4 linked regions of the Saccharomyces cerevisiae S288C genome follow. The gene in region 4 interacts genetically with the main gene of each other region. Each region holds a gene or a part of one and is shown on either strand. Other genes may lie near its edges.

Region 1 (7,679 bases), on a different chromosome or scaffold from region 4:
TTCATAGCATTGCTTTAATATGTTTTTCTGCCGCCAAGCAAAAGAAAAGAACGCAAGGTGATTTACTCTTGGTACTAACATATATGAAATTTTTTGTTAGTTTAAGGAACAAATGGGATTTGGGTCTGTTAACACTCATCAATAAAGAAATCTCCGAATCATTTCAAGGAGAAGGTGAGCCTGAATTAGCATTCATCAACATTTCCAATAATACTCTGGGAGAATATATAGAAGAGATGAACATACGCTCGTAAACTACATAGTAAATTAGTTGCTCTTCTCTTTTGTTCCCGAGTAAATCGAATTATTCTATTAAAGGGAAACACTATGTTTTGAGTCATCCAAACTTTCATTTTTTTCAGATTTCATCGCCCGATCGTCAAGGAATAAAAAGGGAAGGGATGGGATACTTGCATTGGAACCCAGAAAGTACGTAAAAGATGAAGATCGTGAGAGATTGGTCAATGGATAAATAGTTCTGTAATTATGTCTAAGTATCAAATTAATTGCATAAGATACCGGCACTTTCTCAGGACATCTAATATCTCGCAGATCCCTGATTTCACGAAATACTGCATTGGTCCCGTAAATGAAGAATTGGCACCTTACATCATGGAAACCATGAAGGCATACCCTTCAAATTCCGAATATATCAATCCGCAGCATTACTATCATAATAGAACGGTATTAGTAGAAAATTACTTAAAACGAAGTCCAAATCCAGTATCATTAACGCAGTTAGCGCAATATTATGACGATTCTACCAAGCTGACCAGAACCAAGATCATCAATTCCGGGAAATTTGTAAAAGAAGAACTGGTAATTAGGATCGCGCATAAATTAAATCAATTGCAACAACTTCCATTTAATGTTGTGAACAACTTCCATTTTGTTCAAGTTTATGAGTCATATTACAATATTTTTGAAAGCTTTAGAAAATATCCGACTATAAGAACTTTAGAGGACGCTTCTCAATTTGCAGATTTTATCAAAAATATGCTAGAAGGCTTCAATACTCTAAACTTACCACATTTGATAATGGGGGCTTTAGAATGTACAATTTTGGATCTTTATCCTCGTGAAAAAATGGACCAACTACTATCTGATCTGTTAAGAGCTCGAATATCAAGAAGATTGATTGTAGAGGAACACGTCAGTATCACAGCCAACTACACTAGTGGTAAGGAGGAAAATACCTTGGTATTGGGTGATATTTTTCAAGAATGTAGCGCTAAAAAATATTTATTGGAAGCCAGTGAGGAATCTCAAAAATTTATCCAAGATATGTACTTTAAAGACATTCCCATGCCAGAATTTATTATCGAAGGTGACACTCAACTAAGCTTTTACTTTTTGCCTACACATTTGAAGTATTTGTTAGGGGAGATCCTTCGAAATACTTACGAAGCAACCATGAAACACTATATTCGTAAGGGATTAGAAAAGCCGGAACCAATCATAGTAACTGTAGTAAGTAACGATGAATCCTATTTGTTTAGAATTTCAGATAAAGCTGGGGGCGTCCTCCATGATGATGAAAATCTATGGTCATTCGGTAAATCGAAAGAAAGGGCTCAAGAATCCCTAAATAATTTTCACAAGTTACCTGGTTTACAAACAGTATCTATTTATGACGAAGTACATTCCCATACTAAATATAACTCCAAACTGAAGTCATTGCAGTCAATAACATTAAAACCGTACATGCACACGTCGCTAGAACCAATGAGTTATCCTAGCATCATAAATGGGCACATCAAATATGAAACTCCCCTAATTGAATTGTTAAAGCGGTCTTTTAGATACAAGCTTGGGATTGGGTTAGCCATGTGTAAAGTGTATGCTGAATATTGGAACGGCGACCTTTCATTGCATTCAATGCCTGGATATGGTACCGATGTTGTATTAAAATTAGGCAACTTGATGAAGCATACGAAGAAACTACAATTAGATAAAGTGTGAGCTAACCATGCTTACACTATATACCAAGGAACAAATACATATTCGGAATATTAGTATGGTGACTACATTTCCCGGATTAGTGTATGTATATACAAAAAGGCACCTCCGGGTAGCCGGAGTAGAAAGCTGGAAAAATAAAAATGAAAGCGAATGGAATGTGTAAGAGAAAAAAAGGAAAGAACTATCAAGTTGCAGAGTTGATGACATAAATAGTAGAGTGGAAAATCAACGAAGATCGAATTCCAAAGATTATTTTTAGGCAGACAGAGACTAAAAGATAAAGCGTCATGTCCACACCAGCTAGAAGAAGGTTGATGAGAGATTTTAAACGTATGAAGGAAGATGCCCCACCGGGTGTATCTGCTTCACCATTACCTGATAACGTCATGGTATGGAACGCCATGATTATCGGGCCAGCCGATACTCCATATGAAGACGGAACTTTTAGGTTATTGTTGGAGTTTGATGAAGAATATCCCAATAAGCCACCGCATGTCAAATTTTTGAGTGAAATGTTTCATCCCAATGTCTATGCAAATGGTGAAATTTGTTTGGATATTTTGCAGAACAGATGGACTCCAACATATGATGTCGCATCCATATTGACATCCATTCAAAGTTTATTCAACGATCCAAATCCAGCTTCGCCAGCAAACGTTGAAGCTGCAACATTATTCAAAGATCATAAATCACAGTACGTCAAAAGAGTTAAGGAGACGGTAGAGAAATCTTGGGAGGATGATATGGACGATATGGACGATGATGATGATGATGATGACGACGACGACGACGACGAAGCAGACTGAGAAAAATCAAAAGAATCTTAATGATGAATGCCGAGCCGATATTATGAATTCGATTACCTTTTTGTTCAATCAAATATAGGGCTTCATCGTGAGTTTCTTTCTCTATCGATCCGTTTGCTTTCTATTCCTCCATCTTCTACTTTATACCGTAAAGAAAATTTAATAATGATAGAAACATTGCATATAAATAATATACTAAAAAGAAACACTGCTCTACCATAAATTTCTTTGGAGAAAATAACGTGAAATGAGAAATAAGGACAATTTGTTATCGGTTATAACTGCCGATACCCGTATCTTTTGTGTTTGATTCAAGGAATACTTATTTAGAGTAGAAAGAATATATTTACTTAGATAACTTAATGTATAATATATAAAAAAAATCAAAAAAACAGGAAAAAAAAAAATCATGAGTGAGTGGCACTTTTAACTGCAAGAATGAAGAGTGACCCCATTTTTTTTTATTCTGATATTACAGTACTCTTCTGTGCGGGCAGCTCCTTCGTTTTTTGTTTTGCACTTTCATCCAACCACACATATATGGAAACAAAAACGACGAATGAAATTATAGCTTTGCTGAATGGATCTATGCTCTTCCAAGTAAACCTTTTATCATCAAGATGAAACACCTTGACCACGTTTTGCACATCAGCAGGTAGTATATTTGCGTTTTTGTTATTTTGTAGGAGAAACCAATTATATTCGATGAATGGAAGTTTCAAGAATTGGGACCTAACTGACGGAGAAGAGTTTGTCAGGACAAATTGAGTTCGAGGTCCAAGAAAGCCAAATGACTTGTAGTACCACAACTGAATGAAATCTTGCTTTAGATCATTCCAGTTTCCTCGCATTTTCTCATTTATGGCAAAATCCAATAAATCTAAGTCATTACCACTTAACTTAGGAAAATTCTGAAGTAATATATTCGTATCTATCAACTGATTGTTATGTGTCGAAGACGGATTGAAGAATTTGTTCATAATGACACCAAGCTCGCCGTTGTTTAGACGCTCAGTTAATAAATGATCGCGTTTCAAACCACTTGTTTCGTCTTCATCTAGATCTGGTGCACTTGGCTGCAAGACGCTAAATATCTCGGACATGGTCTGTGAGAAGGAAATGGGGTTTTCTGTAGATGTAGTACTGCCATTTTGAGCTAACCGTATTTTCTGCTTCAAAAGCAGTGAAGCCGGTGGAATTCTTTCTAATTTTGGTTGATAAAATCTCTTTACCAAAAGATTTCCTGCGACTGCTTTAATCATGGGACCGATTCTGAAGGCTCTATGCGATTTTAATCTGAAGATTTTAACATTTGACAGTACCATCTCAATCGGACCTTTTAACTGATTTTAGCGAGAACATGTGTATATATTTCCTCTAAGAAAAGAAAGGGCCTAAAAACCTCGCCCCAGTGCATAATAAAAGTAAAAAAAAAAAAATCAAACTTTATTGGGATAAAATAAAAATCAGAAAAACCCTTATATATGTATATGTAGTTAAATGAAGCCAGTTTTTTTCGTCTGGTTTGTTTCAGCCTATATGCCCTCTTTGCTTTCTTGCCATCTGCGGATCAATTTCCTTATGATGCGTTTGTTTTCTTGCCAAAACACTTAATATGTCAGTCAATGACACAACACCTATCAATTTACCTGTTCTATACTCCTTTTCGAAATGTGCTGGAGTTGGAGATGCGGGACAATTACTTGGACTTTGAGGTGGTGGCATTGTGGCCGATGGAGACTGTGGTTGAGAAGGTGAGGGACCACTCAAATTTATATTTACATTTATTTTATTGTTTGATGTATCTGAAGATTTTAGAACAGGAGAGTTGGCCATCCTGGAAGATTGCGTGTTCGAATGGTATGACGACGCAAGCGATGGCAATGTCGTTACGGGTGGAGTACTTGGTGATGGAGATGAGGATTTTTCGGAAGATGCTGTTGGTTGATTGTCATTTGGTTGTACTATCCATAATCTGTGAGATTTGGTAGCGACCAATTTGGCAAACGTTCTTGCCAGGGAACTTGTTGGATACACATGGAAAATAGGAAATGAGTCCTTACCGGTCTCTAGGCCCCTTAAATTCAAAATAACCGAGACAAAATGACGACATGTATTGTGTAATAAAGGATATTGTGAAGTTCTGGTGACGTGTTTGACGTCTGTTACTGAAATATTACCAATCAAGTTTCCCTGCGGGTCAACTACCGCAATGGAAGAGATTCTTTCGACATACATTTTATGCAGAGCCATAATTAGATGCTCGTCACCTTGGATGGATATGACACGTGACTGCTTGAATGTAGGTTTATCACGGGCTGCATTTAGTACACCAATATTCAGCTCCTCCAGGGAAGAGTCCAAGAGAGGCTTCAAGTTGGGAAATGATCTCGCATTCTCCCACAGATACTTAATCAATCGACGTTGGGAAAGTATACCTTTAATCTGTGTCATTTCCACGTTCGTGATGGCAACACGATGCACACCTGAGCCTAGTATGCCTATTACCGTCGATAAGTTTTCCGTTTCGGGCAATTTGTAGAATGGATTCTTAGGTGTCAACTTTACTATCTCGCCCACGGGCACGGACTTACCATTCTGGCAGTCTGAGGTTATCTTGTCGTTGCTCACCTTGATCCTGTTTAATACAAGAAGAAGGTACGCATTGAGATCATTATAGTCGAATGTTAAACAATTCATGTCTCCCGGAAAATTCTCCACAGGCAAAGACGTTAGCTGGTGCTTGACCAGCGTGTTGAATGCTTCCTCTACGGAAATAGAACCTCTGATGAAAATCAATTTGTTCTGTTCCACCAAATTTGACAGAGGAGTGTGTTGCCACTCCTGCCTATGAACAGATAACAGATTCTGTGAATTCAAGGTGGACAAGGAGTTGCCATTATTGTTTGAGTATTCCGTGTTATCCAGCGTGGAGAGAGAAGATGAAGATGACGATTTCGAAATAGATTTATGTAGTGATTCTGTGTCGCTTTTGTTTGCTTCAGTGTTCTTGTCTGTCTGTTCGCTCAAACTATTTAAATCTGTGGAATTCGGTAATTGAGGTGGGGTAGAAAGCATTTCTACGATGGACGTGTGTCTTGTATTTTGAGGCATTGGGTGGGTCTTGCTGAAAAGATGATGTTCTGAGGTATTCGTATCGCTAGCTTGATACGCTTTTAACAAAAGTAAGCTTTTCGTTTGCAGGTTTGGTTACTTTTCTGTACGAGATGATATCGCTAAGTTTATAGTCATCTGTGAAATTTCTCAAAAACCTCATGGTTTCTCCATCACCCATTTTTCATTTCATTTGCCGGGCGGAAAAAAAAAAGGAAAAAAAAAAAAAAAAAAAATAAATGACACATGGAAATAAGTCAAGGATTAGCGGATATGTAGTTCCAGTCCGGGTTATACCATCACGTGATAATAAATCCAAATGAGAATGAGGGTGTCATATCTAATCATTATGCACGTCAAGATTCTCCGTGACTATGGCTCTTTTCTGAAGCATTTTTCGGGCGCCCGGTGGCCAAAAACTAACTCCGAGCCCGGGCATGTCCCGGGGTTAGCGGGCCCAACAAAGGCGCTTATCTGGTGGGCTTCCGTAGAAGAAAAAAAGCTGTTGAGCGAGCTATTTCGGGTATCCCAGCCTTCTCTGCAGACCGCCCCAGTTGGCTTGGCTCTGGTGCTGTTCGTTAGCATCACATCGCCTGTGACAGGCAGAGGTAATAACGGCTTAAGGTTCTCTTCGCATAGTCGGCAGCTTTCTTTCGGACGTTGAACACTCAACAAACCTTATCTAGTGCCCAACCAGGTGTGCTTCTACGAGTCTTGCTCACTCAGACACACCTATCCCTATTGTTACGGCTATGGGGATGGCACACAAAGGTGGAAATAATAGTAGTTAACAATATATGCAGCAAATCATCGGCTCCTGGCTCATCGAGTCTTGCAAATCAGCATATACATATATATATGGGGGCAGATCTTGATTCATTTATTGTTCTATTTCCATCTTTCCTACTTCTGTTTCCGTTTATATTTTGTATTACGTAGAATAGAACATCATAGTAATAGATAGTTGTGGTGATCATATTATAAACAGCACTAAAACATTACAACAAAGATGCCAACTTCTGGAACTACTATTGAATTGATTGACGACCAATTTCCAAAGGATGACTCTGCCAGCAGTGGCATTGTCGACGAAGTCGACTTAACGGAAGCTAATATTTTGGCTACTGGTTTGAATAAGAAAGCACCAAGAATTGTCAACGGTTTTGGTTCTTTAATGGGCTCCAAGGAAATGGTTTCCGTGGAATTCGACAAGAAGGGAAACGAAAAGAAGTCCAATTTGGATCGTCTGCTAGAAAAGGACAACCAAGAAAAAGAAGAAGCTAAAACTAAAATTCACATCTCCGAACAACCATGGACTTTGAATAACTGGCACCAACATTTGAACTGGTTGAACATGGTTCTTGTTTGTGGTATGCCAATGATTGGTTGGTACTTTGCTCTCTCTGGTAAAGTGCCTTTGCATTTAAACGTTTTCCTTTTCTCCGTTTTCTACTACGCTGTCGGTGGTGTTTCTATTACTGCCGGTTACCATAGATTATGGTCTCACAGATCTTACTCCGCTCACTGGCCATTGAGATTATTCTACGCTATCTTCGGTTGTGCTTCCGTTGAAGGGTCCGCTAAATGGTGGGGCCACTCTCACAGAATTCACCATCGTTACACTGATACCTTGAGAGATCCTTATGACGCTCGTAGAGGTCTATGGTACTCCCACATGGGATGGATGCTTTTGAAGCCAAATCCAAAATACAAGGCTAGAGCTGATATTACCGATATGACTGATGATTGGACCATTAGATTCCAACACAGACACTACATCTTGTTGATGTTGTTAAC
Region 2 (7,873 bases), on a different chromosome or scaffold from region 4:
AGTCTTTTAAAAATGCGCCATTATTAGCACCTCCCAATTCGAACATGGGTATGACCTCTCCATTTAATGGGCTTACGTCTCCTCAACGCTCGCCGTTTCCAAAATCTTCAGTGAAGAGGACACTATTCCAATTTGAAAGTCATGATAATGGAACAGTAAGGGAAGAGCAGGAACCATTGGGTCGTGTAAATAGGATATTGTTTCCCACGCAGCAAAATGTGGATATAGATGCAGCAGAAGAAGAAGAAGAAGGAGAAGTTCTTCTTCCCCCCAGCAGACCTACATCTGCCAGGCAGTTACATTTATCACTTGAAAGAGATGAGTTTGATCAGACACATAGAAAGAAGATTATTAAAGATGTACCTGGTACGCCCAGCGACAAGGTGATAACATTTGAATTGGCAAAAAATTGGAACAACAACTCTCCGAAAAATGACGCCAGGAGTCAAGAAAGTGAAGACGAGGAAGACATCATCATCAATCCAGTGCGGGTGGGTAAAAATCCCTTTGCATCAGATGAACTGGTCACTCAGGAAATTAGAAATGAACGTAAAAGGGCAATGTTGAGAGAAAACCCAGATATAGAAGACGTAATAACATATGTCAATAAGAAGGGAGAGGTGGTAGAGAAACGAAGGTTAACGGATGAAGAAAAGAGAAGATTCAAGCCAAAGGCATTGTTTCAATCTAGGGATCAAGAGCATTGAAGAAATGAAAAAAAAAAGTTTCTGGAACGATTATATTTTATTTACTTACTTATTCTACATTTATTTGCAAAGGGGCATTAACATCAACATTTTACATATTATAATATATACAGGATATTCTATATTACAACATTAACAGGATTTTTAACTTTTCCTTACCGTATTCTTTTATTCTGGTTTTCTGTCTTCAGAATAATAGCATATTTCATTGTAGTATTTCGTCAAAGCGAGTTAGGGGAGGATGACTACAAGAAAGACAGCTTCCTCTCTTCAGCTTTTAGGGAAAATCACAGGAACAAAAGCTGGAACTAAGCAAAAGAAGATGAATTTCATTAATGGACTGATATGGTTATATATGTGTGTGTGGATGGTACACGGAAAAGTGACGCAGAAGGATGAATTGAAATGGAATAAAGGATACTCGCTACCAAATTTGCTAGAAGTGACAGATCAGCAAAAAGAACTTTCACAATGGACTTTGGGTGACAAAGTAAAACTTGAAGAAGGGAGGTTTGTTTTAACTCCTGGAAAGAACACAAAGGGTTCACTTTGGTTGAAACCTGAATATTCAATAAAGGATGCAATGACAATAGAGTGGACGTTTAGAAGTTTCGGGTTCAGAGGCAGCACAAAGGGGGGTCTTGCATTTTGGCTGAAGCAAGGAAATGAGGGAGATAGTACCGAGTTATTTGGTGGAAGTTCGAAGAAGTTTAATGGTTTGATGATATTGTTACGATTAGACGATAAGTTGGGAGAGAGCGTGACAGCGTATTTGAATGACGGAACAAAAGATCTTGATATTGAATCCTCACCGTACTTTGCGTCATGTCTGTTCCAATACCAGGATTCCATGGTACCATCAACATTAAGATTGACTTACAATCCACTAGATAATCACTTGTTAAAGTTGCAAATGGACAACAGAGTGTGTTTCCAGACAAGGAAAGTTAAATTTATGGGCAGCAGCCCATTTAGGATTGGAACAAGTGCTATCAACGATGCATCCAAAGAATCGTTTGAAATCTTGAAAATGAAGCTTTATGACGGAGTTATAGAGGATTCGCTAATTCCTAACGTGAATCCTATGGGACAACCCAGAGTGGTTACTAAAGTGATCAATTCTCAAACTGGTGAAGAGAGTTTCAGGGAAAAGATGCCATTTTCTGATAAGGAAGAAAGTATAACGAGTAACGAGCTTTTCGAAAAGATGAACAAGTTGGAGGGGAAAATCATGGCAAATGATATCGATCCATTACTCCGCAAGATGAACAAGATTGTGGAGAATGAACGTGAACTGATTCAACGTTTAAGACCACTGTTAGATCTGAAGAAAACAGCCATAAGTGACGATAGTTTCCAAGATTTTCTTTCGATGAACGCAAACCTGGACAGATTGATAAAAGAACAAGAAAAAATTCGACAAGATGCCAAGCTGTATGGCAAGCAGACCAAAGGTCATGATGAGATATTTTCCAAAATAAGTGTATGGTTGGCACTGCTGATTTTCATTATGATCACATTGGCGTACTACATGTTTAGAATTAACCAAGACATCAAGAAGGTCAAACTTCTGTAAGCTCTTGTGTCTTTGTTATATGGGTACAAGATATAAGAAACATAACTATTACATACGAAAATGTGCATGTTATCTATATCCTTCTTTATATAGATGCTGTTAACTTCTTTTTTTTTTTTTGGGAAAATCAACTGTTAAACGCGACAGTAAAAGCAGCAAAACATTAATTTTGCTTCCAAGACGACAGTAATATGTCTCCTACAATACCAGTTTCGCTGCAGAAGGCACATCTATTACATTTACTGAGCATAACGGGCTGTACTAATCCAAGGAGGTTTACGGACCAGGGGAACTTTCCAGATTCAGATCACAGCAATATAGGACTAGAAAATATCAGGTAGCCGCACTCAACTTGTAACTGGCAACTACTTTGCATCAAACTCCAATTAAATGCGGTAGAATCTTTTCACAAAAGGTACTCAACGTCAATTCGGAAAGCTTCCTTCCGGAATGGCTTAAGTAGGTTGCAATTTCTTTTTCTATTAGTAGCTAAAAATGGGTCACGTGATCTATATTCGAAAGGGGCGGTTGCCTCAGGAAGGCACCGGCGGTCTTTCGTCCGTGCGGAGATATCTGCGCCGTTCAGGGGTCCATGTGCCTTGGACGATATTAAGGCAGAAGGCAGTATCGGGGCGGATCACTCCGAACCGAGATTAGTTAAGCCCTTCCCATCTCAAGATGGGGAGCAAATGGCATTATACTCCTGCTAGAAAGTTAACTGTGCACATATTCTTAAATTATACAACATTCTGGAGAGCTATTGTTCAAAAAACAAACATTTCGCAGGCTAAAATGTGGAGATAGGATAAGTTTTGTAGACATATATAAACAATCAGTAATTGGATTGAAAATTTGGTGTTGTGAATTGCTCTTCATTATGCACCTTATTCAATTATCATCAAGAATAGTAATAGTTAAGTAAACACAAGATTAACATAATAAAAAAAATAATTCTTTCATAATGGCAGTTGAGGAGAACAATATGCCTGTTGTTTCACAGCAACCCCAAGCTGGTGAAGACGTGATCTCTTCACTCAGTAAAGATTCCCATTTAAGCGCACAATCTCAAAAGTATTCTAATGATGAATTGAAAGCCGGTGAGTCAGGGTCTGAAGGCTCCCAAAGTGTTCCTATAGAGATACCCAAGAAGCCCATGTCTGAATATGTTACCGTTTCCTTGCTTTGTTTGTGTGTTGCCTTCGGCGGCTTCATGTTTGGCTGGGATACCGGTACTATTTCTGGGTTTGTTGTCCAAACAGACTTTTTGAGAAGGTTTGGTATGAAACATAAGGATGGTACCCACTATTTGTCAAACGTCAGAACAGGTTTAATCGTCGCCATTTTCAATATTGGCTGTGCCTTTGGTGGTATTATACTTTCCAAAGGTGGAGATATGTATGGCCGTAAAAAGGGTCTTTCGATTGTCGTCTCGGTTTATATAGTTGGTATTATCATTCAAATTGCCTCTATCAACAAGTGGTACCAATATTTCATTGGTAGAATCATATCTGGTTTGGGTGTCGGCGGCATCGCCGTCTTATGTCCTATGTTGATCTCTGAAATTGCTCCAAAGCACTTGAGAGGCACACTAGTTTCTTGTTATCAGCTGATGATTACTGCAGGTATCTTTTTGGGCTACTGTACTAATTACGGTACAAAGAGCTATTCGAACTCAGTTCAATGGAGAGTTCCATTAGGGCTATGTTTCGCTTGGTCATTATTTATGATTGGCGCTTTGACGTTAGTTCCTGAATCCCCACGTTATTTATGTGAGGTGAATAAGGTAGAAGACGCCAAGCGTTCCATTGCTAAGTCTAACAAGGTGTCACCAGAGGATCCTGCCGTCCAGGCAGAGTTAGATCTGATCATGGCCGGTATAGAAGCTGAAAAACTGGCTGGCAATGCGTCCTGGGGGGAATTATTTTCCACCAAGACCAAAGTATTTCAACGTTTGTTGATGGGTGTGTTTGTTCAAATGTTCCAACAATTAACCGGTAACAATTATTTTTTCTACTACGGTACCGTTATTTTCAAGTCAGTTGGCCTGGATGATTCCTTTGAAACATCCATTGTCATTGGTGTAGTCAACTTTGCCTCCACTTTCTTTAGTTTGTGGACTGTCGAAAACTTGGGACATCGTAAATGTTTACTTTTGGGCGCTGCCACTATGATGGCTTGTATGGTCATCTACGCCTCTGTTGGTGTTACTAGATTATATCCTCACGGTAAAAGCCAGCCATCTTCTAAAGGTGCCGGTAACTGTATGATTGTCTTTACCTGTTTTTATATTTTCTGTTATGCCACAACCTGGGCGCCAGTTGCCTGGGTCATCACAGCAGAATCATTCCCACTGAGAGTCAAGTCGAAATGTATGGCGTTGGCCTCTGCTTCCAATTGGGTATGGGGGTTCTTGATTGCATTTTTCACCCCATTCATCACATCTGCCATTAACTTCTACTACGGTTATGTCTTCATGGGCTGTTTGGTTGCCATGTTTTTTTATGTCTTTTTCTTTGTTCCAGAAACTAAAGGCCTATCGTTAGAAGAAATTCAAGAATTATGGGAAGAAGGTGTTTTACCTTGGAAATCTGAAGGCTGGATTCCTTCATCCAGAAGAGGTAATAATTACGATTTAGAGGATTTACAACATGACGACAAACCGTGGTACAAGGCCATGCTAGAATAATGCGTTTGAAGTGAGACGCTCCATCATCTCTCTTAATTTTTCATGACTGACGTTTTTTCTTCATTTTAATTATCATAGTATTTGTTTGAAAAAAAAAAAAAAAAATTTCCCTTATCAATGATATCCTTACGATTATATAAATTCCTTACCTAAACCTATTATTTGTGTACATATATCAGAGTATTATTACATATATAACCTTTTTCTCTAAAACAGGAAAAAAAAAAGAAAACGATAACATGCTCTGCCATCCTTTGTTCACCGAGCAAAATTAAAAACGCAAAATGAATTGTCCCTATGAAATTATTAAAGGACCACATCACCAGACTTATCTCTGGGGGGTCCTCTAGAAAATAAGTCAGGTACTTGCCTGGACTTTCTTCCAGTTGAATTCCTGAGCTAACATACAATTAATGGAGTGAGAATGTTCGAACGATCCAGGAGTTGCTTTTTTCAGTCATTTGTTTATCAGTGTAACAAGCATTTCCTTTATTTCTTTTATATCAACCTGCAACCTATTAATATTCAATTCAACGTCTCGGAGCTTTTCTCGTACCGTTTTACCATCATCCATTTCCATGCTAACTAATTCTGAGATTACGATTACATATTGTCTCAGTTCTGGTTCATCAATGGCTGATAAAACTTTCATTACATTTTGGAAAAAATCTTCGTCATTTAGGTCTAAAGTCAGGATTTGGTTCCTTATAGACTCTCTACGATCTTTTTTCAAGTTTTTTTCTGAAGAAATATGTCCATTTTCATTAGTGACAGCGGTAGAGTCCTCTTCCGCTCGAACCAAACTATCACTGCCGGTGTTTTCCTCTCGAAAGGGTTTGTCTTTACCAATGGAAAGACGCCCGTCTTCTGCGCTTTCATATAATTTGACAGTGGCTATATTGAACTGTTCTTGCAAATCGCCAGTTTTGGCATCCCCTACCCAACCTTTTTCATGCAATTCCTTTCCTTGAGTGACCCAAGCGACGAGGTTATCTCTAATATATCTTGAAGTTATAGGTACTCTTGATTTCTCCTTATAAACTCTGTTAAAAAACTCAGCTATCATTTGATGACATAATATAGGTCTCCTTTTACTTGCTCTCTTTGTTGTGTGGAGCAAGAGGGCCCAATATATGACTGTTAACTTTTCACAAAGACTTTTTTCTTTATTATTGGACCATCGAAACTTCCTTAGTTGCCTTGTTTCCGCTTCGTCATTACTGTTTCCCCCCAAGTCTGTGGGGGCTCCAACGTGCAATATGTCGTTGTCAATATCACTAGAAGTATGAGTTTCCACATTCAACTTGGTATTAGTAGTGTTAATTCTTTTATTAAAGCAAATAGTATGTGTAGATTGCAGGAGGTCGAAGCTCTTCGGATTGGCAAAATCAATATTCTGCTCTATAATTTTCACAGGTTTTGTTGGCAGTATTTGTGCAATTCCTGTCATTGAGTTTCTAAATACATTCTTTTGGTCATATTTTGAAGTGCTCTTTTTGCTTTTATGTACTTTTTTTGAAGAGGACGCATTCACATTTGTTACTTCCAATTTCTCTTCCTCCATTTTTGGCGTTTCAGAGGGCTTTCCGTAATAATCTTCAAAGGAATTTAAAGTAAAATTCTTAAAGTTGGACATCCAAAAGGATCTTCACAATATAAGCGTTTTTCTGTCCACCAGCTTCAACAAGCTTCAGCCTACTACCAATTTCTAATACTGTTTTATCTTATTACTTGCTTACTTATCCACTCCCATTGTTTTGTCCTAGATGACAGCATCACCCGGACTGAATATTAAAGCGTCAGTGTCACTTATTTTAAGTCATAATCAAGTCCTTTTAATGTGGCTATAGATTAACCCTGTACACTAAAGCTGTATATTATTTCCTTAAAGGAGCATTTATTCCCAAACTGTAACGCAGAATGTCATTCCAGAATCATGGAAAAAAGATTCAAATAAATAAATGTATATACACCAAAAATTACAACTTCGAATCCTATAGTACTTTTAATCTTTTTGAAAAAAATATTACTAAAAACTATGTATCATGTCCAAAGGCCATAGGGCCTAGCATTTTCTTTGTTAAAAAAGATAAACAGTAGAGAAATAAATAAAAAACGCCCTAACCCAACATATAGGACCTCTTTTTCGTTGGCCTAGTCAACTTTAATGGATGAGTAGATTTTTCTAACAAAGAGCATACTGCTGATAAAGCCAATTGACCCCGTTACCAAACAGCAGAGTAATGAAATGACTGAGGAGTATCCCACGTATAAGACAATAGTCGTGAATCCACCCAACTTAAATTTGGTGAATAAAATAGAATGAATAAACACATACAAAGCACAACCGGCGCCTCCAATTATGAATCCTCTCCATTGCCACTTCCAGTTCTCCAGGCATAAGGAATGATAAGTGATCAAAATAGTGACGAGTGAACTTGTCAAAGTTAATAGGAGGAAAGAGAAAAAGAGGAAACCAAACATGTAAAAAATCTTATTAAACCATAAACTTGTGTATATGAAATACAACTCAACGGCGATGGAGCCAAATGGAAAGATACCAGCAATCAAAGTAGCTGGTATAGTCTTTAAATACCAAGGCTGGAAGGGTATTTGTCTTGCGATTTGGTTTGTCTTGGTTGGATGTTCATCCCAGTGACATCTTTTCCTGGCAATCAATGAACCAGCAAATGATAATGGGATTGAGAACAAAAACCATAGAAAAACCATAAAAAACAGAGTACTTGCTGGTATGACACCAGAAGAATGAACAAACATTAAGAAAAAGTTCAACGCAATAATTATTAGCAGAATAGCACCAGGAACTAGAAGTGGAGTCAATATCAAGTTTGCCTTCCAGTATGGCCCATTGAAAAATTTGTAGATGCCCATAGATGTATAAGA
Region 3 (7,551 bases), on a different chromosome or scaffold from region 4:
TCGATTTTCATGTTGTTTAATTCGTTGATTTTCAATTGCTTTTTTATCTCTTCAGGTGACAACATTTGTGTGGCATTAGTTGAATTTGATATTGACTCATTACTGAAAAGCGATGAAGATCTTCTTGGCCTCATAAGTGAATTTCCACTACTACTCCTACTTCTGCCAAAAATTCCGCTAAGACCACTACTTAACGTTTCTTTGGCAGCCAAGAATGAACTAGAGCCCCCGCCAGAAAAATAATAGCCATTATTATTCGCTGAACTGACGTGCTGGAATGATGCTTTATCAAATTTTATGTAAAAGCTTTGGAAAAGACTAGACAATTGCAGTACTGATAGTGGCCGTACGTACTTTGGCTGCTTTAGGTCATCAATAAAAATGTCAATTAATTTTGATAATTCTGGAGGTAAATTGGTGACAGTGTTCAACGCTTCGTCAATTTCTTGTTTTGTCAATATAGGAGACTTATTGTTTTCTAGCCTTTCTCCTGTTGTAGAGTTTTCATCACCATCACAGCTACTTCTCTCATTGTCATTTTGATCCTCATGTAGATTTTGTTGAAATTGCATGCCGCCAGTTGTGTTCTTGTATGATTCCCTGATGGATTGATTAGGGTCAAACCTTGGATTGGTTATCGGAGGAGTGAATAATTGTCTAGCCATTTGACTTTTATTGTTAGAGGGCGTACTTCTTTTTTATCTGCTCTTCTTCTTGGCTTCTAAAAATACCTTTTGCTCTAAGGGGAATGATGATTTTATGAGTGTCTATAAAGCCAATTCTCTTTCTGCCCAAGATATTAAACACCACACCAATCCGAACAAAATTCAATAGACGAACAACAGTAAGTTTTAATCTATTTTTGCTTCAATGATGCGTTTGGTTGGGTCTTTACTGGAAATCAAATAAGGCTCGGTTATTTGCACACTTTTTTATCCGGGAACCGCTCTTTTACGAAAGCAAATTTCAAAATGTATGTAATACGAAGGCATTAAATTATTCAACAACGGCGCTCGGATATGATTTATATTACACGTCTAGAACGATTAGCAGATAGTAAAACTAGTGGCACGTTTAAATGACTTTTTCATTCCATGAGTTCCCGGTTTGCAAGAAGTAATGGCAATCCCAACCACATTAGGAAAAGAAATCATTCTCCAGACCCAATAGGAATTGATAATTATAAAAGAAAAAGACTAATTATAGATTTAGAGAATTTATCCTTAAATGATAAAGGGCCCAAGAACGGACATGCAGATGATAACAATCTTATTCATAACAATATAGTATTCACAGACGCTATTGATGATAAGGTCCTGAAAGAGATCATCAAGTGTTCCACAAGTAAACGCGGCGACAATGACTTGTTTTATGACAAAATATGGGAACGTTTGAGAGAAAAAAGGCTACAAATAATAAAATGGGTAGATTATAAGGAAATTGCTTATCTAAGCTGGTGGAAGTGGTTCCATAATCAAATGACTTCGAAATACACTTATGATGGAGAGGCTGATACCGATGTTGAAATGATGGCAGTGGATACTGATGTGGATATGGATGCGTAACTTACTATTATTATAATATACCTATGTACAGGGCGGTTATTTATTTACACGTTCGTAGTATAGCATATAAGCATATTTCTGTTCATTCAAGACAGTTGAAGCGGTAGATTCCTTTATGGCGGTATCAGATATTTGCCAATAAGGATACCGCAGGGCGTTTTTGACTTTTTTATATCTGCTTTTTTTGTAATCATTATGTGCAACGTTTTGCTCGCGATTCTTGTTAACTTCATTGTTGACAACTGGTGCTCTTCTGAAGGAAGATTCATCCTCCTTCCCGAAACGAATTTCAGTCTTGCGTCTGTAACACATATAGTGTCCACTCGAATGAGAACCGGTGTGTTTCACAACACTTTTCAAATTATATTTGACTTGCCTGTTTTCTGTTATTGTCCCACTCTCAGCCAATGTATATTCAGAAAGTGTTATTCTTTCTCCAAATTTGACATTGCAGGGATTTCTAGAATATGTAATACCATTGAATGTGGATCTCGATAAGTGAACAATTAATATGTCTGGCAGTTGTACTACTACATCTTTTTTGATGACCTTTCCCTTTATATTAGATACCTGCAAATTGCCCTTTGAGTAACGCTTGACGTACTGTTCTACTTCGAATGGTAAATTTTCGTTAATTGGGGCTTTAGTGGCATAATTTTTCAATCTGTCCAACATTAAAATTTCATCCGGGGTACAGTCCTTGAAATTTCTATATTCTTCATGGTTTAAGATTGCTCTTATTTGGCAGATCAGGCATGAATAGTCGTCTATGATTTCTGTTTCATCGTGTGCTAGAATATTGGATAGATTCTCTGATGTTTGTTGTGGTACGGACAGTTCGCGGATGAAAGTCTGTTTGTATGATGGTTCTGATAGACCCTTGCATTTAAGGCATACTAGAAACTTGGAAGTCTCGCCCTCAAATGGAAACTTTGGTATATTCAAATTACATATCTGTTTACTGTAATCGATCAATTTTGATCGTTCTTCCTGTAATGTTTGTAGTAATATTAATGTAAATTCATGTGCATCATTTTGTTTGGATGAGATCTTTGATTTAAAGATGGACTCTAATGTGTTTATCACTATTTTCGGAGAAATTGACGTCTTACGATCTTTTACAGATATCAAATCCAAAATTAAACTGGTAAGACTTTCGTGTAAGGGGGCAAGTGAATTAGACGAGTTTTCAAGTCGACTATGCCTTGTAGTGTTATCAACTGTAGGATTGTCGCCTTTTGCATTATTTGACAGCTTAGTTTCTAATTCTAGAAGGACCGTTCTTATCCGTTTCAAATATTCTACAAATCGAGGTATTCCAGCCAGGCCTTGCAAAGATGATGTTATGAAGCAATCATTCCCACGATTAATTAAGCCCACTGTCGTGTACTTCCCAATACTCTGCTTAGAATCCCCAAAGACTAGCGCACTTAGGCTGGGTGCAATGGCATATAGAGAAGCAGCAATTATCAAACCACATGAAACTTTTTTAATCAGTGAAGTCGGAGATTCTGTTACATTTTTTATCCAAGACATATTGTGCTTGTAGTAACTGCTGTACCTTGCATATACTGTTTGGGCAGAAGGAGAAGGTCCAATTAGTTGTTGGAGGGTATGGCGCTAACGGTCAAGTGTTTTATAGCTGGACTTTGCTTTCCCATTAACTCAAACGTGTATATAAATTGAGATTGAAGAAGAAACTTTGAATCTAGGTTAACTGGGTGCTATTGATTTATTTTTTTTATTTCACCCAAGTATATTATTTTGTTTTCTTTTTTTATTTCATTTTTTTGGGGCCAATATAGTAAGCAAAAATCCGGAGAACTGTATTGAATATCGTTCTGAGAAAACTAATTGTAAATAAGAAAGAAAAATATCAAATCATAAGGGAACCGAAGTTAGTTTTTCTTTGATAATACATAGAAAGTACATAGGTAATAAAATTAGATCAGAAGCAAGAAGTTGAAAGGGGAAAATTCCTTCTCATACCTTTCTTTGCCATTAAGACGCTCCCTCTCGTTCAGGAACCATTACTACCGAATTTACTAGACCACTCCTCATATTTTTGTAGAGATTCTGACGACACGCTCTTTTTTATTGTCAACAGAGCATTCTGAAAATCTTTTATTTCAATTCCTCTGATTTTATCAAAATCCGCAAACATCAACTTATCTCCTAAATCTCTAATAGGTTCCATTGCCGCTTCTTTGGCTAATGACGTAAGATCAGAACCAGAAAACCCCTCGGTCATTTCTGTTATTAATTCATAGTCTAAATCTTGCAGGCTATTTTTCTGCTTGGCCATTAATCTCTTCAAATGATATAGTCTAGTTTCATAATCTGGTAAAGGAATGTATAGTTTCCGTGAAAATCGTCTTCTTGCTGCATCATCAATCGCCCATGGCAAATTCGTTGCTCCTAAGACAAGTACTCTGCTGTCAAGCGTATTATTTCGGTCTTCCGATTGTGCAGTAGCACTAGATAGGGAGGACCACTGAATAAGAAGTTCTGTTTTAATTCTCCTCGAGGACTCATTTTCATTATCAGAGCGAGCTGTTAACATAGAGTCAATCTCATCTATGAAAATAATTGAGGGTGACAATTTTTTGGCCATGTAAAACAATGCTCTAACCAGCTTCTCAGATTCACCGAGGTATTTCGATAGCAAAGAAGATGCACTTACACTAAAAAATGTGGAATTGGACTCTGTCGCAACCGCCTTAGCAATCATTGTCTTACCTGTACCTGGTGGGCCGAACAAAAGCATACCTCTAACAGGTTCTCTTAGCCCTTTGAATAAGTCAGGCCGCAGAAATGGGTAAACCACTGCTTCTTTCAAAGAATTCTTCGCATTCCGTAAGCCTGCGATATCCTCCCAATAAACTTTTTCATCCGTAACAAGAATTTCATTAAGTATCTGTTCACAAGCGTTTCGATCTACTCCCTGCACTGATTTTAATATATCCTCCTTTCTGGAATCGAGGGATGAACTAGCAGAGCTTTCCTTATCGGGTGTACCACTTTTAGAACGCATGGGTTTGGATTCAGCAGGTACCGCTGTCGCTGAAACGAGTACTGGTGAACTAGGCTCCAAATTTTGCTCATTCCTACGAGAAACTTTGTTAGTATTGGATTTACTAGCCTTCAGCTTGCTATTTGTGGGTATATTCCGTGAAGACTTGCTGTTTTGCCTGTTAAGAGTAGGTGATTTTATAATCGGTCGATTAACTGTTGGCTTTTTGTAGTCATACCTTTTTTTCAAAGGTGGTGTTGGCTTATAACGTATCTGAAGTTCATTTGAATGCGATCCGTTGTTACTCACTTTTGAATGATTTGCCCCGTTTTGATACTGAGACCAGGCTAACTGCGCAGCCATACCTATTTCTGCTGCCTCCATTGATTTTCTTACTGGCGTTCGTACTCTTTCGCCTGAAGTCCGTACAACGTCAAGTGATCTTCTTTTAATTAGGGAGTTGTCAATCTTTCCAGAAGATTTGCTACTGGAAGAGAAGTTGTCGAGGCTAGCCCTTGATTTGTAATTTGTTTTCCTCTCATGTTTCAGGGTTGATATACGTTTTTTCTCCGCTTGTTCTCTATGTTTGCGTTCTTCTTCCTCTCTCTTAACTCTCTCCTCCTCCAACTTTTGGGCCACTTCAAATTCGACCTTTTCTTTAACCTTTAACTCGATCAATTTTTCCCTTTGAAGTTCTAAGTCCCTCTCATACTGAAGTTTTGCTCCTAACTTTTTCTCTTCTTCTAATTTCCTAGCACGTCTGATATTATCAGCCTGTTTGTTGATTTTAGCCTCCTTTTCGTCAGCTTCTTTCAATTTATCTCTTTTGGAACCCATTCTCCAAAGTTTTGGAAAACGCAAACCATTTCCTGTCCCAAGGCCCAAAACGGAAGAGGAGGATGACAAAGAGGGACTACCGTTTCCTTCGGCCATAAGCGTTTCTGCTTTACGACGTGCGATCCTTATATCCTGGCCAAGAATTTGGAAATCCTCAATGATGCTCCTCAATTCAGGATGATCAACTACAAGATTTCCTAACCCTTTCTTTAAGGTATAAGTCTTTTCAATTTTTCGTAGACCTTCATTGACGTATACCAGTAAAGTGTCTAAGTTTTTGTGGATTTTCCCATACGTTACTGTGTCCTTATTACCTTTGCTATTGATTATTAGGTCTGCTAGGTTTTTATATTGATTTTTGACAACAGAGTAAAGCAATTGCAAAGACTGCGCTAATGTGAAGTTCTCAGGTATACTAAACTTTTCATGTGCCATTATCCTAGACTTTTTTGTGTTCCCTCCTCGGACTTTTCTTCACCCAGGGTCTTACCTCTTTTGCTAATGAGATTAATGTTTTTTCCATCTTTCAAAATTTCGGATAGCCCATCTATCCAGCGGGTTTTCTCAATTCGCCAGGGTCTTTGACAAAAAAATTAAGTTTTCGTAACCCATATAGTCAGTCATGAGAATATATATTTAGTCGTTGATGGAAAGACATTTAGGAATTCCCACATAGGCATACATCCGCATAGGTATGTACACACATAAATCTATATAAATATTAAATAAGTATATATATTTTCTATAAAGGTAGTAATAACCTAATGACATTTCTCGTTATCGTCGCTTCGTTATTTTGTTGAAGGAACTATTGTCGCGGACAACCTCAATAAACTTAAGATGGTGTATTATGTCGCCTTTTGCAATACTTTAATTTCTCTTCTTCTGTCATTGATCTAACGTTCCAATTTTTAAAGTTTTCAAAAATACAAATTTCCTTGTTATTTTTCGTTAAATTTCTAAAGTACAATGATAGAGAATTCAGAGTCAGACCGTTATTTATCCTGAACTTTTCTAGGTCCCCTACTAAAATCTTCCGTATATCCTCCCTCGGTTGTTGAGGATTAGTAAACCTGCCGAGTTTTATGCCACGATCACATTCCGTTTCAATATAATCCATAATAATTCTTCTAGTAGGAAAAAAATGTGAATCTTCGCTAACCTTCCACCTTCGCCAGCCATAATTTTCAATCAATTTTTTTATTGAAGATTTACCGTTCAGACCAATATACCACTCCGCATATAGGTCCCATATTGTTTTATTTTCTCTGGACAGCTTGTATTTGATTGCCTCGTTTGGCCCCGCCTTCGTATCCTTTTTATTTATAATTTCAAACTTAGAAGAACTCTGCGGAAATGATGGAGCTGTCTTTGTCACTGTACCACTTGAATTTGCAGCCTCAGTAGAATTATGAATATTAGAAATTGGTACTGGTTTGTCAGCATCCGTACCAAGCGGATTACTGTTTTTACCATTTTTCTCAGGATCTTTCGATTCTGGGCTGTTATCATTGGGCTCCGACTTACTTGACTCTGGCGGTTTCTCCCTATCAACATCATCACCAGCTACCTCGGTGGGACTTTCAGGCATGCTAGTAGTGGAGTCGTTGTTTGGAAGACGAGGTCGTTCAGCTAGTTTTGAAGAAGATGATGGAGAATCTTCATTTACCTTCTTAGAGTTATTTTCCGTTGTTGAACTTGAGCTACCACCAACTACAAAATCTGGAGAATGCTGAAACTGCTGAGGTGAGCGAAAAGATTCCGTGACAGCTGTGTTAGCCAACGTCGAAAGGGGTAATCTAGGGCTTGAAATGGATTTTGTAAGTAAGGAATCAAGAGCCGTCTGAGACGGAGTTGGTTTATCGTCTAGTTTAAAGCGTTTGCTATAGGGAGACTCACCAACGGGTGATGGAGAAAAAGGACTGCCTGTTGCTGCAGAGGCTATTGAACCTGGTAACGGTAGCTTCCTCTTCTGTACTATATCTTGCGGTTGCGGAGCCAAGGTGCCAAGCATCGGCTGTATAGAATTACTTAAGCTCGGGAACATGTTAATTGGCGCTAGCGCAGGGCTATTAGTACTTTGAACCTGTGCATGTGATTGTCCTTTCGGACCCCTTTGATGTGTTTGGGCTTGTC
Region 4 (7,885 bases):
CCATTGTAAATTTACTTGATGTTGCCATTAAATTCCATGGACAAATACACAGCGCCATGGCTGCACAAAATAATGAACCACGCTTGATATTGATAAACTTGGGGAAAATAGCGGACATATCAGTTCCACACGATAATGAGTTTGCAGAAATATTAGTACCTAACTGAGCTACGGCGAAAACAAAAGAGATTAAGAAAACACCAGCTCTTGTGCCCTTATTATAAGTAGTCTGTAAAAATTTTTCTAGCACATCGAGTGGCGACCAGTAATTAATACCGTATATTTCATAACCAGCTGCGGTGACTAGAATTCCAATTAAACAAGTGATGGAAAACAAAAATGGAATGCACACTAATTGGGACCATAAAGCGGAGTTAGGGTTTTTTGAAAATCTAGAGAAATCTGGAGCGTTGATTACCATTGTGGAGAAATTAGCCATACAACCCATTAGTGATCTTAGAAAAGCCCACGAAAAGGCAGAGCCATGAGGTTGTACATCGGTTAAAGATCCTAAGGCAATACGCCCGTGAGCTCTTCTGATAGCCCAAATTAAGAAACCAAAAGAAGCAAACGGAACCAAGACGGCTTTAACAGTAAACAGGTGTCTAATTTTGTGAGGTGGAACCAGTAAAAATGGAAGACTGGCAGCCCAAAAGATAAAAAAACACATGAACTCGTAAGTAGTAGCATTCGGTGATCCAAAGTGATCTGGGATTTTGTCTTGTAAATCTTTTCCAAAGATAGATTTCAGCATTAATGATACGGGAGTTGCCGCAATATAAGCTTGGACACTATACCAAACGATGGCCATGACGACTCTGTTAATAACGGGCCATAAAGAGAAGAAAATACCGAATGATGCTCTAGATGATATAGGGAATGACAAATGATAAGCAGATCCAACTCTAGAGGCCAAAACAACAAAAGCACCAACGAAACCGTACCCAATCCAAATTGTTATCCAACACTGCCACCAATTTAGACCCAGTTGTAGACCTGTAGCTGCAATTTGCCAAGTGTTGATATTGAAACATTCAGCAAGCCAGAAGTAACAATAATTGTACCAGGACCAAACCCGCCTTTCTTTTTCGACGGGCTTCAAGTCCTGGTTGTACATAAATGAATCCAGAATAGAAACACCCAAGATTGATTTGTCAACGACCACATATTCATAATAGATTTTCTTCCAGAATGAGCTGTATTGAGGTTTTTCTGAGCTTACTTTTTCTTCAAAGCTCGATGCCTCATAAACTTCGGTAGTTATATTACTCTGAGATGACTTATACTCTTTTTCCAAATCCACATTATTTGGCGCAAAGGTCTCATTGGAAGATTCCATAAGTTGGCGAGAGTTCAATCTTTTTGAAGAGCCGCTTAAATGTAATGATAGATTGTCTGGCATTATTCCCTCCTATTCTTATTATGCGTAGGAATGTCTTCGAACCGAAAGATCTTCTCTATGGGGTATGCTTTAGAGTGAAATTAAGAAAGGAGTTTTATACAGATGATACCTAATCATCATATAAGTAAGAGAGAACAGAGATTTAATGGAAAATGGAAAAGGGCAAATTGGCGCTGAATCAAATAGTTTATTATATCTTTACAATTTGTCCTGATTTTGTCCTTGTCTAACTTGAAAATTTTTCATTCTGATGTCATACGACTTTTTTCCGGTCTAGGAAATCGGTGAAAGCTTTTTTTTTTTCCTATCTTCTTGTCCATCGGAATTTTTCTGTCATTTCTTTTCCTCCTCGCGCTTGTCTACTAAAATCTGAATTGTCCAAATTCAGTACAAAATTAATCAGTAGGACAAAGGGTTCTCGTAGAGTCCCCGGAAAAAAAAAAGGACAAAAAGTTTCAAGACGGCAATCTCTTTTTACTGCATCTCGTCAGTTGGCAACTTGCCAAGAACTTCGCAAATGACTTTGACATATGATAAGACGTCAACTGCCCCACGTACAATAACAAAATGGTAGTCATATCATGTCAAGAATAGGTATCCAAAACGCAGCGGTTGAAAGCATATCAAGAATTTTGTCCCTGTGTTTTAAAGTTTGTGGATAATCGAAATCTCTTACATTGAAAACATTATCATACAATCATTTATTAAGTAGTTGAAGCATGTATGAACTATAAAAGTGTTACTACTCGTTATTATTGCGTATTTTGTGATGCTAAAGTTATGAGTAGAAAAAAATGAGAAGTTGTTCTGAACAAAGTAAAAAAAAGAAGTATACTTATAATTCATATAGACAGCTGCCCAATGCTGGTTTAGAGACGATGATAGCATTTTCTAGCTCAGCATCAGTGATCTTAGGGTACTTGACCTTGTAGAACTCATTGGCAAGGGCTTCTTTTACCTTTTCTATGTTGCCATTTGGGCCCCCTGGAACCAAGTGAACAGTACAACCACCCCAGCCAGCTCCGGTCAAACGGGAACCATATGATCCATTTGACAAAGCAATGGAACAAATTTTGTCAATCTCTGGACAAGAACATTCGTAAAGTTTATCGCAAGAAGCTTGAGACTCGTTCATCAAGGCACCAAATTGCTTGAAAAAGTCTTCGTCGGCAGTAAAGCTCGCTGTAGTCATTAATTTCACAGCCTTCAAGACTCTTAAAGATTCAGAATACACATGCTTAGCCCTCTGATATAGCTTTAAGACTTGAAATCTCACTGGAGATGTTGTTAAGTAGTCTCTTGTGAATTCTTCGCGAGAACAATTCAAGGATTGTGCGACATCGTCAACACTAAAGCCCTGTTTCTTATTGGCGAGAGACTCTTCAACTAGTACTAGCATCTTTGTTAACCGTTCGATGCCGGATTCAATATCGCCGTTCCAGGGTGTGGAAATGTTGTGATATCTGGCATAATAAACGTTCATGAAATCTCTTAGATTACCTTTATTCGTGCTCGATCCTTCTTTTCCAGAAAGTAAAACAACACCGTACGTGGCAGCTAAAACATTTGCAGCTGTAGTGACTTCTACCACTCTTAAATTATAGTTGGTTGGGGCGGTTTCAAACTTGTTAGATACAACAAGGGTGTTCGCAATAACAAAGCTAATTTCATGGTTTTTTAATTGCGGAAATTTAAACGGAGTAGCCTTCAACTGCGGTTTGAACTCAACGTATAGAGCATGATCTTCCTCACCGCAAACAGAGGCAGCCTGATCCATACCGCCATTGTTAACACCAACATAATGTTCTGCAACGACCGTAATACGCATTAAATTTTGCTTGGACATATGATAACCAGGGCCCATATTCGCTTTAACAACAGCTAAAGCAACGGCACAAATGAATGCGGCCGAAGAAGACAATCCACTGCCAGTTGGTACATCACCCTCACAGAAGACTTGCAGCCCGGCCAGAGGAGCACTGGCAAACCTTTCCGGTGCAAGTTTCTTTAGAAAAGAGTGAGCAACATGGAGACCACATTTAAAGTAATTAGACCAGTCCGACACAGAAGGATCAATTGTGACATAAGAACCGTCCAACGGCAAATCGAACTTCCTTTGAGCAAATTTGGGATCAGCATTTATTAAGGTAATGGATGGATTTTTCTCGTTCAAAACTTTGACGGCGCAAAGCATATCAAAATCAATAGCTAAAGGTAAAACCGAGAAGTCACAATAATCAATATGTTCACCAATTAGATTGACTCTACCAGGCGATCTAGCAACAAAATCCGGTTTAGCATCATAAGCGCTTATAAATTTCTTAATTATGCTCGGGCACTTTTCGGCCAATGGTCTTGGTAATTCCTTTGCGCTAGAATTGAACTCAGGTACAATCACTTCTTCTGAATGAGATTTAGTCATTATAGTTTTTTCTCCTTGACGTTAAAGTATAGAGGTATATTAACAATTTTTTGTTGATACTTTTATGACATTTGAATAAGAAGTAATACAAACTGAAAATGTTGAAAGTATTAGTTAAAGTGGTTATGCAGCTTTTCCATTTATATATCTGTTAATAGATCAAAAATCATCGCTTCGCTGATTAATTACCCCAGAAATAAGGCTAAAAAACTAATCGCATTATCATCCTATGGTTGTTAATTTGATTCGTTAATTTGAAGGTTTGTGGGGCCAGGTTACTGCCAATTTTTCCTCTTCATAACCATAAAAGCTAGTATTGTAGAATCTTTATTGTTCGGAGCAGTGCGGCGCGAGGCACATCTGCGTTTCAGGAACGCGACCGGTGAAGACGAGGACGCACGGAGGAGAGTCTTCCGTCGGAGGGCTGTCGCCCGCTCGGCGGCTTCTAATCCGTACTTCAATATAGCAATGAGCAGTTAAGCGTATTACTGAAAGTTCCAAAGAGAAGGTTTTTTTAGGCTAAGATAATGGGGCTCTTTACATTTCCACAACATATAAGTAAGATTAGATATGGATATGTATATGGTGGTAATGCCATGTAATATGATTATTAAACTTCTTTGCGTCCATCCAAAAAAAAAGTAAGAATTTTTGAAAATTCAATATAAATGACAGCTCAGTTACAAAGTGAAAGTACTTCTAAAATTGTTTTGGTTACAGGTGGTGCTGGATACATTGGTTCACACACTGTGGTAGAGCTAATTGAGAATGGATATGACTGTGTTGTTGCTGATAACCTGTCGAATTCAACTTATGATTCTGTAGCCAGGTTAGAGGTCTTGACCAAGCATCACATTCCCTTCTATGAGGTTGATTTGTGTGACCGAAAAGGTCTGGAAAAGGTTTTCAAAGAATATAAAATTGATTCGGTAATTCACTTTGCTGGTTTAAAGGCTGTAGGTGAATCTACACAAATCCCGCTGAGATACTATCACAATAACATTTTGGGAACTGTCGTTTTATTAGAGTTAATGCAACAATACAACGTTTCCAAATTTGTTTTTTCATCTTCTGCTACTGTCTATGGTGATGCTACGAGATTCCCAAATATGATTCCTATCCCAGAAGAATGTCCCTTAGGGCCTACTAATCCGTATGGTCATACGAAATACGCCATTGAGAATATCTTGAATGATCTTTACAATAGCGACAAAAAAAGTTGGAAGTTTGCTATCTTGCGTTATTTTAACCCAATTGGCGCACATCCCTCTGGATTAATCGGAGAAGATCCGCTAGGTATACCAAACAATTTGTTGCCATATATGGCTCAAGTAGCTGTTGGTAGGCGCGAGAAGCTTTACATCTTCGGAGACGATTATGATTCCAGAGATGGTACCCCGATCAGGGATTATATCCACGTAGTTGATCTAGCAAAAGGTCATATTGCAGCCCTGCAATACCTAGAGGCCTACAATGAAAATGAAGGTTTGTGTCGTGAGTGGAACTTGGGTTCCGGTAAAGGTTCTACAGTTTTTGAAGTTTATCATGCATTCTGCAAAGCTTCTGGTATTGATCTTCCATACAAAGTTACGGGCAGAAGAGCAGGTGATGTTTTGAACTTGACGGCTAAACCAGATAGGGCCAAACGCGAACTGAAATGGCAGACCGAGTTGCAGGTTGAAGACTCCTGCAAGGATTTATGGAAATGGACTACTGAGAATCCTTTTGGTTACCAGTTAAGGGGTGTCGAGGCCAGATTTTCCGCTGAAGATATGCGTTATGACGCAAGATTTGTGACTATTGGTGCCGGCACCAGATTTCAAGCCACGTTTGCCAATTTGGGCGCCAGCATTGTTGACCTGAAAGTGAACGGACAATCAGTTGTTCTTGGCTATGAAAATGAGGAAGGGTATTTGAATCCTGATAGTGCTTATATAGGCGCCACGATCGGCAGGTATGCTAATCGTATTTCGAAGGGTAAGTTTAGTTTATGCAACAAAGACTATCAGTTAACCGTTAATAACGGCGTTAATGCGAATCATAGTAGTATCGGTTCTTTCCACAGAAAAAGATTTTTGGGACCCATCATTCAAAATCCTTCAAAGGATGTTTTTACCGCCGAGTACATGCTGATAGATAATGAGAAGGACACCGAATTTCCAGGTGATCTATTGGTAACCATACAGTATACTGTGAACGTTGCCCAAAAAAGTTTGGAAATGGTATATAAAGGTAAATTGACTGCTGGTGAAGCGACGCCAATAAATTTAACAAATCATAGTTATTTCAATCTGAACAAGCCATATGGAGACACTATTGAGGGTACGGAGATTATGGTGCGTTCAAAAAAATCTGTTGATGTCGACAAAAACATGATTCCTACGGGTAATATCGTCGATAGAGAAATTGCTACCTTTAACTCTACAAAGCCAACGGTCTTAGGCCCCAAAAATCCCCAGTTTGATTGTTGTTTTGTGGTGGATGAAAATGCTAAGCCAAGTCAAATCAATACTCTAAACAATGAATTGACGCTTATTGTCAAGGCTTTTCATCCCGATTCCAATATTACATTAGAAGTTTTAAGTACAGAGCCAACTTATCAATTTTATACCGGTGATTTCTTGTCTGCTGGTTACGAAGCAAGACAAGGTTTTGCAATTGAGCCTGGTAGATACATTGATGCTATCAATCAAGAGAACTGGAAAGATTGTGTAACCTTGAAAAACGGTGAAACTTACGGGTCCAAGATTGTCTACAGATTTTCCTGATTTGCCAGCTTACTATCCTTCTTGAAAATATGCACTCTATATCTTTTAGTTCTTAATTGCAACACATAGATTTGCTGTATAACGAATTTTATGCTATTTTTTAAATTTGGAGTTCAGTGATAAAAGTGTCACAGCGAATTTCCTCACATGTAGGGACCGAATTGTTTACAAGTTCTCTGTACCACCATGGAGACATCAAAAATTGAAAATCTATGGAAAGATATGGACGGTAGCAACAAGAATATAGCACGAGCCGCGGAGTTCATTTCGTTACTTTTGATATCACTCACAACTATTGCGAAGCGCTTCAGTGAAAAAATCATAAGGAAAAGTTGTAAATATTATTGGTAGTATTCGTTTGGTAAAGTAGAGGGGGTAATTTTTCCCCTTTATTTTGTTCATACATTCTTAAATTGCTTTGCCTCTCCTTTTGGAAAGCTATACTTCGGAGCACTGTTGAGCGAAGGCTCATTAGATATATTTTCTGTCATTTTCCTTAACCCAAAAATAAGGGAAAGGGTCCAAAAAGCGCTCGGACAACTGTTGACCGTGATCCGAAGGACTGGCTATACAGTGTTCACAAAATAGCCAAGCTGAAAATAATGTGTAGCTATGTTCAGTTAGTTTGGCTAGCAAAGATATAAAAGCAGGTCGGAAATATTTATGGGCATTATTATGCAGAGCATCAACATGATAAAAAAAAACAGTTGAATATTCCCTCAAAAATGACTGCTGAAGAATTTGATTTTTCTAGCCATTCCCATAGACGTTACAATCCACTAACCGATTCATGGATCTTAGTTTCTCCACACAGAGCTAAAAGACCTTGGTTAGGTCAACAGGAGGCTGCTTACAAGCCCACAGCTCCATTGTATGATCCAAAATGCTATCTATGTCCTGGTAACAAAAGAGCTACTGGTAACCTAAACCCAAGATATGAATCAACGTATATTTTCCCCAATGATTATGCTGCCGTTAGGCTCGATCAACCTATTTTACCACAGAATGATTCCAATGAGGATAATCTTAAAAATAGGCTGCTTAAAGTGCAATCTGTGAGAGGCAATTGTTTCGTCATATGTTTTAGCCCCAATCATAATCTAACCATTCCACAAATGAAACAATCAGATCTGGTTCATATTGTTAATTCTTGGCAAGCATTGACTGACGATCTCTCCAGAGAAGCAAGAGAAAATCATAAGCCTTTCAAATATGTCCAAATATTTGAAAACAAAGGTACAGCCATGGGTTGTTCCAACTTACATCCACATGGCCAAGCTTGGTGCTTAGAAT

What was found.
Region 1: mutations in GAL1 (region 4) and SDS23 together harm fitness more than expected from each alone (negative genetic interaction), as found in Saccharomyces cerevisiae (one large-scale study listed by BioGRID).
Region 2: mutations in GAL1 (region 4) and GAL2 impair growth when combined (synthetic growth defect), as found in Saccharomyces cerevisiae (2 studies listed by BioGRID, with this or other methods).
Region 3: of GAL1 (region 4) and YTA6, changing one suppresses a phenotype caused by changing the other (phenotypic suppression), as found in Saccharomyces cerevisiae (one study listed by BioGRID).

Annotation. Positions count from the first base shown.
Region 1 is NC_001139.9:391,737-399,415, forward strand, and holds SDS23 (Sds23p), read right to left. Parts: upstream 5,883-7,679; coding exon 4,299-5,882; downstream 1-4,298. Other genes in the region: YBP2 (Ybp2p), read left to right, coding at 1-254; protein kinase PKP2, read left to right, coding at 487-1,962; E2 ubiquitin-conjugating protein RAD6, read left to right, coding at 2,250-2,768; GEP7 (Gep7p), read right to left, coding at 3,230-4,093; OLE1 (stearoyl-CoA 9-desaturase), read left to right, coding at 6,892-7,679. UniProt on the Saccharomyces cerevisiae protein: Involved in DNA replication and cell separation during budding.
Region 2 is NC_001144.5:286,968-294,840, forward strand, and holds GAL2 (galactose permease GAL2), read left to right. Parts: upstream 1-3,244; coding exon 3,245-4,969; downstream 4,970-7,873. Other genes in the region: cyclin-dependent protein serine/threonine kinase inhibiting protein SIC1, read left to right, coding at 1-707; EMP46 (Emp46p), read left to right, coding at 949-2,283; SRL2 (Srl2p), read right to left, coding at 5,427-6,605; EMP70 (Emp70p), read right to left, coding at 7,124-7,873. UniProt on the Saccharomyces cerevisiae protein: GAL2 is a facilitated diffusion transporter required for both the high-affinity galactokinase-dependent and low-affinity galactokinase-independent galactose transport processes.
Region 3 is NC_001148.4:414,062-421,612, reverse strand, and holds YTA6 (putative AAA family ATPase YTA6), read right to left. Parts: upstream 5,851-7,551; coding exon 3,586-5,850; downstream 1-3,585. Other genes in the region: guanine nucleotide exchange factor MUK1, read right to left, coding at 1-665; YPL071C (uncharacterized protein), read left to right, coding at 1,095-1,565; putative ubiquitin-specific protease UBP16, read right to left, coding at 1,602-3,101; transcription regulator GCR1, read right to left, coding at 6,251-7,551.
Region 4 is NC_001134.8:274,960-282,844, reverse strand, and holds GAL1 (galactokinase), read right to left. Parts: upstream 3,825-7,885; coding exon 2,238-3,824; downstream 1-2,237. Other genes in the region: FUR4 (uracil permease), read right to left, coding at 1-1,402; GAL10 (bifunctional UDP-glucose 4-epimerase/aldose 1-epimerase), read left to right, coding at 4,493-6,592; GAL7 (UDP-glucose:hexose-1-phosphate uridylyltransferase), read left to right, coding at 7,318-7,885. UniProt on the Saccharomyces cerevisiae protein: Galactokinase is a key enzyme in the galactose metabolism where it catalyzes the conversion of alpha-D-galactose to galactose 1-phosphate.